2 linked regions of the Saccharomyces cerevisiae S288C genome follow. The protein of the gene in region 2 purifies or fractionates together with the protein of the main gene of each other region. This does not show direct contact. Each region holds a gene or a part of one and is shown on either strand. Other genes may lie near its edges.

The links.
Region 1: the proteins of DLD2 (region 2) and AIM45 purify together in Saccharomyces cerevisiae (affinity purification with mass spectrometry, with the first as the bait; 2 studies listed by BioGRID). This does not show direct contact.

Annotation. Positions count from the first base shown.
Region 1 is NC_001148.4:561,298-568,213, forward strand, and holds AIM45 (Aim45p), read right to left. Parts: upstream 3,745-6,916; coding exon 2,710-3,744; downstream 1-2,709. Other genes in the region: YPR003C (uncharacterized protein), read right to left, coding at 207-2,471; HAL1 (Hal1p), read right to left, coding at 4,490-5,374; methylisocitrate lyase ICL2, read right to left, coding at 5,972-6,916. UniProt on the Saccharomyces cerevisiae protein: The electron transfer flavoprotein serves as a specific electron acceptor for several dehydrogenases, including five acyl-CoA dehydrogenases, glutaryl-CoA and sarcosine dehydrogenase.
Region 2 is NC_001136.10:135,340-142,959, reverse strand, and holds DLD2 (D-lactate dehydrogenase), read right to left. Parts: upstream 3,439-7,620; coding exon 1,846-3,438; downstream 1-1,845. Other genes in the region: GID12 (Gid12p), read right to left, coding at 1-863; YDL177C (uncharacterized protein), read left to right, coding at 1,239-1,751; PCL9 (Pcl9p), read right to left, coding at 3,755-4,669; AIT1 (Ait1p), read right to left, coding at 5,421-7,064; INH1 (ATPase inhibitor), read right to left, coding at 7,524-7,620.

The sequences.
Region 1 (6,916 bases), on a different chromosome or scaffold from region 2:
CTTTTGTATTCAATTTTGTGGGTTTTATAACGTATAAATGCGCTTCTTGAAAGCTTGTTAACGATTTTATCGTAAAGAAATAAATAAACTAAAGAATTGAGGAGACAATACTGTTTTGATAAATAAGCCCCAAAAATATTATAGGGCCGCAAGGAATAAATTTCATAATGCGCATATGCCCAGACTCCTCTGTTTCTTTCGAAGTTTTACACTAGACTTGAATTAAATAAAGTATTGGACATAAAACTCTCCGAATCATTGTTCGGGACGTTGTTCCCTTTAATTTTCATTTTCTCAATTTCATAAAGAGCCGCATCAATGCTATCGAAGTACGGAGAATATGTCTCTCCTGCATCACTAAATGTGTTGCTAGTATTATTTTCGTTGTTATTTGCTTGCGCTCTTTCCACACTAGCAGCTACACCTGCTTTGAATAATCGCCTTCTTACTTTGTCATTTATAGATACATTGACAAGGTAAATAAAGACATTGCGCCTCTTGTAACTAGTGATAATTTCCTCCAGCACTTGGGCGGCTGAAGAATCTATTGAGGTCATCCCACCTAAATCGAAAATGACATATTTTATGGAATCCTTCGAGCGAAGTGATTTCCTTCCAGGATGTATCTTAGACGAACCGTACCTCTCTATTCTGTCAAGTCTCTGTTTTAAATCTTCGCTGTTTGTAAATGTGAGAGGCTCAGGTATTCTAACAATCATGCATCCCTCGATTTCTTCTGTGCCCTCAACATCCAGAGAGTTCCTTTTCATGTTCATCATGTAGTCGTCAAGATTCGTAAAGTTCGACGTTCCCGCTACCCTAGCCAGAATTTGGATTCTTGACTTTGCTGAATGCTTTATAATATTTATAATTGAATAGACACATCCGATGCATATTCCTGCTTCGATTGAGTAAAATATTGTAGTGCAGAAGGTAACAGCAAAAACAAATAGTTCACTAAAGCCACCACATCGCAAATGGAACTTTATGTCGCCTGGCACTTCCTCTAATAAACTAATTCCGATGATGGTTGTTATGACGGATAAAACACAATTAGGAATATAATGTACGAATTGAAGAAGTAAATTCATTGTGATTAGGGTGATGACACCCATAAACACTCCCGACATTACGCTTTGTGCTCCTGATAGGGCGTTGATCTTGGATCTTCCATATCCGCCGAATGCGGGAAGAGCACCGAATAATGAGATGACAATATTCATGAATCCTAAAGCTACTAGTTCTCTATTAGAGGAAACGGTAAGATTGTAAGTTGTTCCAAGAGATTTCGACGCGGTCGTAGATTCAAAAAAACCCAACATTGCCACTATTAGAGATGCACTAAAAAGATCTGGTATTAGCTTACGTCTAGGACGAGTTAAAGGGTTTTTCAATTCATCAAAATTGTCCATGCTAAAGTCGCCAATGATAGAAATACCATATCTGTGTTTTAAATTAAATTTCATGGAAATAAGAATAGTAACAATTACCACCAATAATATATCTGGAAAAAATATTGCGCTCTTGTGATATTTCATTAATTTCCTCTTTAGTAGACGCGTTAAAAAGAGGACAATCAAGCAACATCCGCTGAATATTGCCGTTGGTATATGGTATTGTGCTGGTGCATAATCAATGAGGAAAAGTATTTTCTCGAAAGGGGTATGGTAGTGTTGAGGCAAGCTTACTAAAAATTTGTCTAGCTTTAATTCAGAAATCAAAGAGTTGATTATCATAACCAGTCCTACTGAACTTATGAAACCTCGTAGAAGTGCCTTGCTAAGAACATTTCCAAGGAAACCAAATCTGGAAATACCAGAAAAAAGTAGGATAGTGCCACTAACAAATGTTATTACTGTTGAAATATCAATTAGAGAAACATTTTCTTTATGTAGTGTTATAGATTCGACTGCTTGTCCCACGACCAAGGAAATTGCACTTTCGGGCCCAACTATCATCTGAGGAACAGAACCTAAAATACCATAGACAAATGGGCTAATAGCCAAAGAATATAGTCCGCATAAAGGTGGGACATGTGCAATTGAAGTTGTGTACGATAGCGCAAGTGGTATCTGAAATGACGCTACTGAGATACCTGCGATTACGTCGCCCCACAGTTTATTGAAAGTGTACTCAGGAAGCCATGAAAAGCAGGGCAGGTAATAAGGTAAAGTTTCAAACACTGTATTCTCATCAACGCTATCATTATTGTTCGTATTACTTGTATTACTTGTATTATTTGTATTATTTGTATTATTGGTGCATCCTGATCTTGAGTTGTTGGGTGGGGGTACCCCAGTAGTTGAATTAGATGCTGCAATATAGGTCCTGCCTCGATTGGATGAATCCTTATCATAATCAAAATTGTCCGAGAAAGTGTCACGCTGGTCGACTGATCTTTTGAATCTTGGTGGAGCGGTAGAGGAATATGACATCCTTCCACGCCCCAATAACGAATTATTTGATGTCATCCTATAATTGTTTCCGTAAGTTCTTGGAAATCACTAGGAAGTTTGTGGAGTTATTGTTCTCCTCATATTCTCCCATCTGGAAGAACTCTATTATTCCTTTGCCATTTCTCGTAGTCTTTTATATTTAGTCCGCTTTACACCGAAAAGGTCATTTTTAAAAAGGCAAGAGAACTAGGAAAAGTAAAACGTGCCCCCTTCAAAGCGAAGAGATGAATATATTTAGAAGTTAAGAATTTATTTATTTATATTTACCAAGTTTTTCAGTTAGTTCAGGGACTATTTTGTAAAGATCCCCTTGCAACCCATAGTCAGCGACATTAAATATAGGGGCATCAGGATCATTGTTAATGGCAACGATAACTTTCGAATCCTTCATTCCCGCTAAATGCTGAACTGCACCAGAAACGCCAATGGCTATATACAAATTTGGTGCGACTACCTTACCAGTCTGACCGATTTGTAGAGAATTATCACATAGTCCATTATCAACAGAAGCTCTTGTGGCACCTATAGCAGCGTGCAAAACATCTGCTAGCGGCGATAATAGCTTCTCAAATGTCTCCTTATCCTTGAGTGCCCTTCCACCAGTTACCACGTTCTGTGCAGAAGTAAGTTCAGGCCTTTCACTCTTGGTAAGAATAGTTTTAACCCAGGTAACATTTAAGTCACAAGGAGGAATATCAGTTCTCTTCTCAATGGTAACAGAATCCATACTACCCTCTGCAATTGGTGGAAAAGCTGATGCCCTAATAATCAACAGTTTTTTTTCTGCCTGGCATTCTATTGTAGAAATAATGTTACCTGCATAAATTGGCCTTATAAAGGTCTTAGGATCTTTGATTACAGTAACCTCACAAACAGGTTGGACGTCCAAGAGCGCACCCACCCGAGGTAAAACACTTTTTCCAACAGAGGAGTTTGAGACAACAAAATGTGAATAGTCGCCGCCTTTTAATAGTTTCACTAATAACGGAGTTAGTTGTTCGGGAAGACAGGTATCTAATTTTGAATCTTCAAATATGACAAGCTTTTCTAAATTGCTGCATGAATATGAAGATTTTAGCGCCTCAGCAGTTTTTTCAGCTTTGCTACCTGTGATTACAGCTGTGATAGGGTTAGACAACTTTTGTGCAGCAGCCAATAAACTCAATGATGACCTTGAAACAGAGCCATCTTTTGAGCTTTCAATGAAAGCTAAAGTGGAGGCGTAATTTTTCTGGAGGAACTTTGCCTTGCTAGCTCTAGGCAAGACAGCAGCCAATGATTTAAACATAGAAATTAACAATTAGCTGCTTTACCGTTAATGGTAGTAAATTATATCACTAGATTTTGTTTGTTGATTATTTTAATTGTTTTTAATTTTTAGTTAGTAGATTTTCGTTCGAGGCCCTAAAAATGTACCGAAAAGTCATAATAAACGGGCGGAGTCACATCGTAAGAGTAACATATACAATATGCGAGCAGACTTTGTCCATTAAGCCAAGTAACAACAAAAGAACCAAAAAAAGGAAAGTATCTCGTCTCTGTTGAGTAATTCTTATATCTTGCAAGATTTAATTCTCACTACTAATACGGAACTCAATCAAAGTGGCTTAATCCCAAGACATGCATTGAATACGGTATCATTGGCTGTTGACAGTTTAAGAAAAGTAGTTGTCACGTTCCTGAGGTTACTGGGGACAAGGGAAAGTAGATACTCGTCTTACGAAATTGGATATAGTTACTCTCTAATGCTCAATCCATGTAAAGCATGAATCATCTCAACAGAAAAATCTGGGAGAGCATATTTGCAACAAAAGAATCCAAATATCAGTATATAATTATATAAGTGAGCTAAGAAGTGAACAAAAGAAAAGGAAGAGGGGAAAAATTTTGGCTGGACTTGTAGAACGATAGAACGAAAGAGTCCAAGGGGGAAGTAATAAAGTTATTGAACGAAACAACAAAAATTCGATGGAGATATTAACAAATGCATAGCAGCGCAGCTAACCGACCCGAAGCTAGTACCAACGAATTTTTCAACTATTCTGTGTTGATTGTCTCCTTTGCAACACCGAGCTCTTCAGTATTCTCAGCTGAAAGTTATTATTGAAATCACGTTGGGGACTTTCATGATCTAGTGGTCTTGGTGAGTAGCATTTAATATTTTGACCATTGAAAGGGCATCTCTCAATTGGAGAAAGGCCACTCTTAGGGATAGGCGTTTTAACAATCTGTTTATGGGATGAATGATATATTTTTGAGGATGGATTCACGATACTGATATGTTTCCCGTCCGCATTATTCGGATATGTAGTGCCTTCTTTCGATAAAATAGATGCCAATCCTGGCGTATGCTTTGTTTCGATGACGGAGCTTACCAATTTTTCACTTCGTATTTTCGATGAGTTCTTATTTTTACATTTGACGTTCAATATTCCGACATACGTCTCTCTTTCTGAAATGTTGGAACTCTGTGGCCTTGGATTTGGTGTTTTTTCACCCGAAAAATTGTTGATAACTGCACTTTTCTTTGAGGTACTACTATTTATATCTTCCTGCTCTTTTGTTCCCCGCTTAAGATGTTTTGGATGGCAAGTTTCAATAAACTGCGGTTTTATTCCTGCTTCTGAAGAGGTGCCCGAGATGTGAACCTCATTTCCACCACTACCAGTATAAGTAAAGTAGTCCGTACCTTCTTTTCCAAAGTCATTTGAGGAATATACCAAAAAAACACCTTCCTTTACTTGAAAGCGATCCACGAATGGGAAAGTATCCCCTTCCGAAGTCACATCTGAGGGAACAAATTTTAAAACATATGAGATGTTGTTTTCATCCACGGCATCATAAAATTTACAGCAATTATTCTCATACATCAAGTTTTTGAGAGTGTAGTCATGCAATCCTAAATCTTTGAAATGCATCTGATCTATTTGTTTCTGTATTTCTCTTTTCTTGAGTTATATAAACGGAATGATTAGTAGTTTGGCAGAATTTATAGCAAGTATTAAATAGTTGAATACCTCAATATTCTCCATAATAAACGCCATATCGTACATAAAGGCTAAAACAAGAATGCCTGATACCGTTCTGCTTTTTGTTTTATCTTTCCCTATATTTTCTTTCCCTTTTGATGCTTTACGTAATTTTTCCCGGCATATGTGAGCTTCCTAATAGACTCTATTTTTATTTTTCCCTTTCAAAGTGCGAGAGAAATACACACAACCAGCCTACGCTTATTTTCACCCATACCGTCATACGCCATATGATATATAATGTGAAACAAACGCGGGGAAGAGCGCGACACGACAGCTTAGCAGGGGCATTCCACGCAACACCTGAAACTTTAAGTAAAACTGTTTCTGCGAGGATATCTTGGCAAAACAAACACTAACTTTCGAACTAAATATAGTGATCGTGGTCATAAATTAATAAAAAGAGGATAAATAGAGATAAAAGAGATATGTGACTAAGTTGCTGGCAATATGTATTATTTATACTTTTATCTTCTTGAAGCGTATTCAAAATTGCGTTTCGGTAAAGCTCTCACCAGATGTACTTAAAGTTTGGGATGAAGCACCGTTTTGGACAACTTTCATTAAGGAATCAACATATTCTGCACCAGACCATAGCTGGTGTGTCATGATATCACAATTAGTCTCCTTTTCCCGTTTTTGCACTTTTTCGACGTATGCTTTCATTCCGTCACTTTGGAAGCTATTGGCTAATTCCCAGAATGATACTCCATCTGAATGCAGACCGGCAAGGGAAACCAGTTGCAACGTGAAGCCTTCTTTTGCCAAGTCCCATACGAAGGATTTTAATGCCTTATCATCAAAGCCGTGAGCGCTCCAATTGAAACTAGGAGATAAGTTATATACTAGCTTGGTAGCTGGAAGTTGTTTATGAATTTTTCTTGAAAATGAGCGTGCCTGCTCCAGGTCAGGAGTTTTCGTTTCCAGCCAAATCATATCAGAATATGGGGCAAACACCAAAGATCTTCTAATAGCTGCTTCAATACAACCGTTAAACATGTAATATCCCTCTTTGGTCCTCGGAGCATCCCAGTCAAATATAATTTTCTTTAGTGGTGTCACTTCTTGAGCTAAAAGTTTCATTTCTCTTAAGCTTAGGTATGCTCTACCCAGCTTGTTTACCATAAGGTCTTCCTTCTTTTCTTTATAGCTTTCAAACTCGCTTGCCGTAAACTGCTTTTCTAAGGCCTCTTCAAATGTAAACAGCTCATTTTCATGGTACCATTCTTTTTCCATGTCAGCAATGGCGGAGTTGGGAATTTTTTTGTCCTCCATCTCAATCAATTTTTCGCTCCAAGGCACCACGTTATCTCTTATTATACCCCTAATGAATTCGTGGTCTCTCGGATCACTGCTTGAACTCAACAGCTTACCATTACAGGAATCTGTTCTTGCAATAACCAAATTTTCTGTCCCCATGATATCCCATTG
Region 2 (7,620 bases):
CTTAAAAATGTAACATAAGTCAATGGTAAAATTATTTTCCTTATAAATAGTGGTGATCGTGGCGATACTGTCATGAAACAAAACCGGTCTAATGGATTTATATGGAATGTGGAAATACCTCGTTCTATATGTAAATACATCGAAGGCCTATATATGGGCAGGCCTTGATACATATTGCAAAACGAAGATACCACGGGTGACGATCTTAAATGGGATGGTTCTATAGGCAAAAGGAAGTAGCAGATATGCTTAGAGCATGACCTTCCAGTGTACCGCGTACTACCTTCAAATAATTTTTCTTCTTCTGAAGAATGTGTTGTATTATTATCGTGATGTACTTTGAAAAAGCAATCTGGAAACATGGGGTTGTACATGTTCTTATACTGAATGTAATCAGTGGGAAGGTTCATTACAAAGACATATATTCGACCGGAGCACATACAACAATATAATAAACCTTGACTATATTCAAGACCAGCGATCATATAGTCACTAAAAAAATTGGATTCGAAATCTTCCGGAGTACATCTAAGGATATAAGAGGGCGCTAATCGCAGGCCATTTTTTATCTTGTATTGATAGTTGCTTATGATTTCAATGAATCCGTTGGATTTAGCCAGCACCATGTAATCACATGAGTCCAAAATATGCGTTGCGTCTGGAGATATTGACGTGTCTCTACCATTAGGCCTTAAATAACAAAACGCTTGTATATTTGCATTCACATCTACTTTTGTACAACCTCTTTCTGATGGGACCAGTGCTAATCGATCGTTTTTAAATTCAAATAACCTATAACCAGACGGTTTACCCTTAGTATTGCAGGGAGTAGAAACAGCAAATTGAATCCTGCCAGTAGCCATCGATAACAAAATGTTCAGATTATGTGGAAAGACGCTTTCTGCGTGTATTTAACAACTCAAAGTAAAACCTATCTTAACCTGGTTTTGTTCTATTAGATGCCATTCAACTATGGGGAAGGTATATTTGGATGTTTGTTAGCAATTTTCAGGAAGGCAAGTACTTAATACCGATCAGCTTACTATTGTTTTTGACCTTAGAGCTCTTTTCAACAAAGCTTCGCATTGTGAAAAGCAGACCCAAAACGGCAACTGAGAAAATACGGCACTGTGGAAATAAGTCATGCATCAATCATCAGCTGTAAAAAACCTTTAGAAAAGACATTATACAGATTCTTAGATAGGTATTGATGTTTGGTATTACTATTTTTTGGAGAAATGAGTAAGAATGTTGGTAAGCTAGTGAAAATATGGAATGAATCAGAAGTTTTAGTTGATAGAAAATCGAAATTTCAAGCAAGATGTTGCCCATTACAAAATCAAAAGGATATACCCTCCATACTCCAAGAACTAACGCAAAACAACAAAAGCGTCTCCAAGGCATCCCACATGCACATGTATGCCTGGAGAACGGCCGAGGTATCAAATAATTTGCACTTACAACAAGAGCAGAAAAAGAAGGGCAATAAAGCAAATAAGAGTAATAATAGTCATGTTAACAAGTCAAGGAACATAACGGTGCAGCCAAAGAACATTGAGCAAGGATGTGCTGACTGTGGCGAAGCTGGTGCTGGACAGCGTTTATTGACCTTACTTGAAAGAGCAAACATATTCAACGTCTTGGTAATAGTGACCAGATGGTATGGTGGCACGCCTTTGGGCTCATCAAGATTCAGACACATTTCAACATGTGCAGTGGAAACCTTAAAGAAGGGTGGATTTCTTCCTTAAATATCACCCTTACCATATAATATACACAATTGTAGAATATAATATTGATAAATATATACATATGTAGATAACTATAAAACTTGGCATTTTATTTTCAAATGTATTTGTAAGGGTTTAAAATTCCATTAGGATCATAATGAACCTTCAAATCCTTCATCATCTTGACCTCTTCCGGGCTCTTAGAATAGCCAATGTAATTTTTCTTTTGGAAACCTAGCCCATGTTCGGCACTAACGGAACCATGTTTTGAGGAAACAAACTCGTAGACAAATGGTTCCAAAGTCTTTTCAATGTTCTTGTTGTACTCTCTAACTGCAACATTTAAGTGTAGATTACCATCACCCACGTGACCGTATCCAATGGCGCCCACCACTGGTTTGGGCGAATCACCCACTAATTCAGCTTCAGAAAGTCTTGCATTAGTGGCTTCAACCAAAGAATATAGGTCCTTTAGTGGTAAAGAAACATCGTATTTGTAAACACCACCATTAGCTTGACTTGCCTCTGGAATCATTTCTCTCCACTTCCACAAGTTTTGGAGTTCGGTTTCATCTTGTGCCACTACACCATCCGTTACTATGCCCTCTTCCATGACGTTTTCTAAAAATGTTTCAAGTTTGGAATCATCGTGATCTTTGTTTGACCCTGACGTTTCGATAAGAATATAAAATGGATGCTCATCCTCCAAAGGGAAGGCAGCATCCTTCAATTGGCTCTTGGCCAATACTTGAGATTTAGCATCCATAAATTCAAAAGCGGATAAAATCTCAGATAATTCTTGCCTGGCTCTGACGAAGACTTTTTGAACGTCTTCAAAACTTTCAACAGACAAGTAAGATACATTAAACGCTTTTGGCTTAGGAACAGTCAAGATTGAAACACCAGTGATGATACCGATAGTACCTTCTGAGCCAATGAACAGCTGTTTCAGATCATAACCGGTGTTGTCTTTTCTCATGGAATGCATGCTATTAACAATTTGACCATTGGGCATTACCACCTCTAAGCCTAAAACGCTTCCATGTAGTGAGCCATAACGCAATAACCTTAGTCCTCCAGCGTTGGTTGCAACCACGCCACCAACATGGCAGGAACCTTTAGCTCCCAGATCCAACGGAAACATATAATTTTGTTCCATTACGTAATTGTTAGCATTTTCCAAGATTACACCAGCATCACACTTCAAGATACCTGATACAGGGTCAAAATCTCTTATTTTGTTTAAATTTGCTAAAGATAGAATTAATTCATCAAAAATGGGCACAGAACCACCTACCAACCCCGTGTTACCGCCTTGTGGGACAACGGCAATTTTTTCATCATTACAATAATTTAAGATTAAAGAAACTTTTTCCACTGACTTAGGTCTCAATACTAACTTGGACTGTCCTTTGTACTTTCTCATCCAATCTTCATTATAAAATGAAAGATCCTCTGATTCGCTGGCTCTTAATATTTCTTGTTCCGATAAAATAGATTTAAAATAATTTAGATCATCGGACGTTAATTTTTTGAATCTAGGGTCTCGATGCACGTCTGGATAGTTTTCGCTAGTCAGTCTGGTTTGTATCTTGGTCGAATAATAGTTAACTCTTCTATAGTATCCTAAAAGAGCTGATGATTTCATATATCTGCCAGCAAATTTGAAATTGCTGCCAGTACTTCTCACCAAAATGTTTCTTAGCATCTTGTTATATGCCACTTGTAGTGCTGGATTAATGTCTGTAAAATAAAGAGAAGAAGTTGTCAATGCATTTATTACCACTTTTTCAGAGTCAGATAGATTTTGAATTATATAACCTGTCAAAATGAAAAAAACTCGGCCGATATTCCTCGAGAAACAAGACGAATGCCAAGAGTATTCATTATTAGATATTTGTTTATGTAGTATGGTGTTTTTTTAGTAGCCTAGAAACGATGGTTATTCATATTGTACAAAGTTAAGACAACTAAAGAACGGAAAAGAATATTTATAGAGCTTGTAAAAGGCGAGTAACTTAGAATTATTGCTTGAAAAACGATGACCAGCCCCTCCTTGTAAAATTTAACCGTTGGTGAATTGTGGGCTTATGCGACATTACTGGTGAACTTCCCATTGTTACATCAATATGGTTTACTGAGTGTATGTTTTCCTCTGCCCTGAAATTATTACAGATATCGTTATTATTCCTTAACGGCACATGATTTTTTTTGTTGAAGTTGTCAGATTCCACCAACGGTAGGGACGGTTGGTATTTTGCCAGTAGAGAAGACCTTGAGTCTGTTGTCGAAACTGTTGCCATGGATGTCAGTGAAGGAACCGATATAGCAGAAGAAGTTCTAGAATGCGAAACCGGTCTTCTATGATTTATATATTCTTTCAGTTGGCCGGGACTTGGTGCATTGAACAACAGCATTTCTTGTCTCCTTTGTAAAAATAGTTGTTCCTTGATAGGCCCGAGGAAGTAAGAAAGAGAATCAATCAAATCCGGTGTAGTTATCCTCACATCCCAATTTAAATATTCTAATAGTTCTCGTTCGATGGTATTCACCTCACGTATTCTGAGTAAACCTTCTGTGTACGTGGTCCAGTGTTTGTTCCAGGGAGAAGAATCGTTCAGAGTTTTGGCAGCTAATATCAAGCATCCGAGAAATATCCGATGTCTTGTGGTGTTAATACCGTACACATTTTTTGGTATTACGCTTTTCAGTTTGTTTAAATAAACTGATGTGGCCATTAAAGTTGGTGTTTGAACATTTGACTGAATTACCACGTTTTTAATGAAGATAGATAAGTCTGGTGGGCGACATCCTTGGATTGGATTATTATTTTCCCTGATTTTAATTATGGAAGCAGTAGAAGTGGCTAAGAACTGAATCATTTCTTGCGAAACAGGTTTTTTGTTGAATTGCAAAAGAGCATCGTAGTCAGAAATCATCTCTTTGTGCGTATTTCTTCAGAATTAATAATGCTGTTACCGAAACAAGTTTTCTTGTCCTTTCTTTGCGTATATCCACTTAAATATATGTTATTAGAGATCTATGAATGTCGATGCACTCTTCTACTGACCGCAAGCTGCCCAAATGCTTAAATACAGAAGCAAAGAGACACATATTTACCACGTTGCATGAATGTCCAAACTCACTGCACCGTTAAACAGAATTATAATAAGCAAGGCTTGACTACTTGTCCCTTGTAAGATTATCTACTTGAGCTGGTTTTTTTTTAGTGCAGCAATAAAAAAAAAAATTAGTGACGCTGGTTTCCGCGCAGCGCTAATTTAAGAATTTTCAATATTGCCAACAAATTTTATCTTGGCAGTTATGAATGGAGGCCAAATTGTAGCATACAGTGTGAGCTCCATATTGCCAACAAATTTTATCTTGGCAGTTATGAATGGAGGCCAAATTGTAGCATACAGTGTGAGCTCCATATTGAATGATGCATGATCTATTTTCTTTTGGACAAATTTCTACCTTGCATAACCTTTGATTGATGAACCACTGATGTAGTTAAACTTTTAAAGTAGGGTTAAAATGTCCCTTTAATATATTTTTATAATTACTTACAGATTGTTGTTCTTATGTAAATTTTATTATTAAGCTCCACCTCCCCTAAAGTAAAATGGATAACATAAAGATTTTTCAAGATATGAACACCCTAATATGTGCACGGTCGTTACTTATATGCTATATATAAACTGTTGAAAGTATTCCCGTTACAAAAACAAGAAGACTCCAAGAAACCATTACTCCAAGTACAAAAGAATCATTTCTTGCCAAAGCCCTCCAATTTTTGACTAGCTTCTTGCAGAATCTTAGTAAAGCGGAGTCGTTGGTCATATCATCATCATCCCCATTTAAACTACCATAATATAACGTCGTATTACCTAACAACTGGCCTGAATTCATCCCGAAGTGACCCGGGCTGCTATTTATTACATCAGGACTATCCATCGAAATGTAATTAGCACTCAGTGGATGTTGGTACTCTTGATTTGTAGCTACTCTCTTACTGATAGTATTTTCGTCGTCGTCCTCAAACTCCCCCTGTGAATTATTAAACCAATCGTCTAGCTCTCTTCTTAAATATATCGAAGTGTTGATGAGGAAGTTTAGAGATATGAAAGGAATTATTACGCATAAGATGAAATTTGAAATGGTTCTTGAGCCGAAGTAGTTCACCACGGGAGTAAATAATCCTTCATGGCCGCGAACATAGACGAAATACATCGACAGAATCAATGATTCCCCAATTGTCAACATGATATTACTACCAACTACCAATATCATTAACAATAAACCGGTGACCAACTGGTATGCCGTGCTAAATGCAATAAATCTCTTTATCGGTGTGAAGCTTTTAGTAGTATTTTGTGTATTTTCATTAGGAACTGCCCATGTATAACCAAAAGATTTCTTCAAAATGGGCTGTTCTTCGTCTATGGGGAAACTCAAATCACCCGTATCTAGAGTTGTCAACTTTAATGAATTGTCGATGGGGTTCATCATGATAATTGTATCGTCCTGCGAATTATCTGGTACATGCAGCTGCTTCTTATTTTCATGAGGTTGCTGTCGTATGCTGCCATAAGTTGATGACGATGAACGTAGAGGTTTGATTGGATGGTACTCAGACGAGTATACGTTATTCGATATGGAAGATGAGTCATTTCTTACTTCAATACATTTGGACAACGTAATATCACTTCTGTCTACGACGTTGGGGCGATATTCTGTACTACAACCGCAGTCATCGTTATGGCTCATATCATTATTGTTACAGTAAGTGTTGGCGCTTTCCTGGTGTGTGAAGCCACTATTAATGTTTGGATCGGCGATTTCTTGGTAGTTAAACAAATTCCCTATTATGCATATGGTGAATTCACCCAGGGCCCATGATATACCAAAGATATAGGCTTGTCTTGGAATGATGTGCCAAGAACATTCCTTATGCTTGATCGTACCGCCTTCGTGATCTTGCACCTGAGGGTACGCTAAACCAATCAGTATCAAAAGCATAAAGACGTCGTTGATAGGAAAATCCACTATCAGGTTCAATATTAAAAACCTTTGATTTATATTGAATAGAAAGGTCTTCAGGAAATAATAAAGAAATGGTGAAAAAAGCCCCAAAAGAAAGGTCCTGAAATAGTCCTGCGAATTTGGTTTGAACATCAATGGATCATCATACTGGTGTAGCAGTAATTCGGACGACGCATAGAATAGTGAAAACAGTGAAATACTAAACAGCGCAGAAAGTATCACTATGTGAGGCCTTGTGGAGCAGAAAATAGGCATAAAATATGATGCTGCATGATTTAATCGGACCATATTCAGATATATTTCACAGGTATCTTTCTTTTGTGTAAAGAATACGAGGTATGATTTAAAACGTCAAAGAATGGAAGAGAAATTTTGAATGCGAAGAGATGCTAAGTATATTCTTGGTGTTAGGCTAAGCTTGTTGAAACAAAAAAGAAGGAATTTTGAAATTTCGTATCTTAAGTATGGACTATTGACGTTATTTGGAACTTTTCCATGTTCCACACTGTTCCTATCTTTCTATGCCTTTCCGCATTGGGACGAACTTTGCGCGAAGTGGAAATAATGAGTGACATTAGTCAGACAGACAAGAGGAAAATTCAAACCAGAGGAAAACTAGAATGATAGTTATCGAAAATGCAAAAGCTCAGTGTGATGTATTATTATATAGTTTTTCTGCTGTTTGACTATAAAAGAGTAAGAATATTCTAAAAAAAAAAAAAAAAAAGCTTCTGCGGAAACGCATGATTATTTGGTCATCGAGTCAATTTTATTTTCCAAAGAATCAATCTTCTTTCGTTGTTTTTCCAGTTGTTCTTTCAAATGGCGTAGTTGCTCCTTCTCA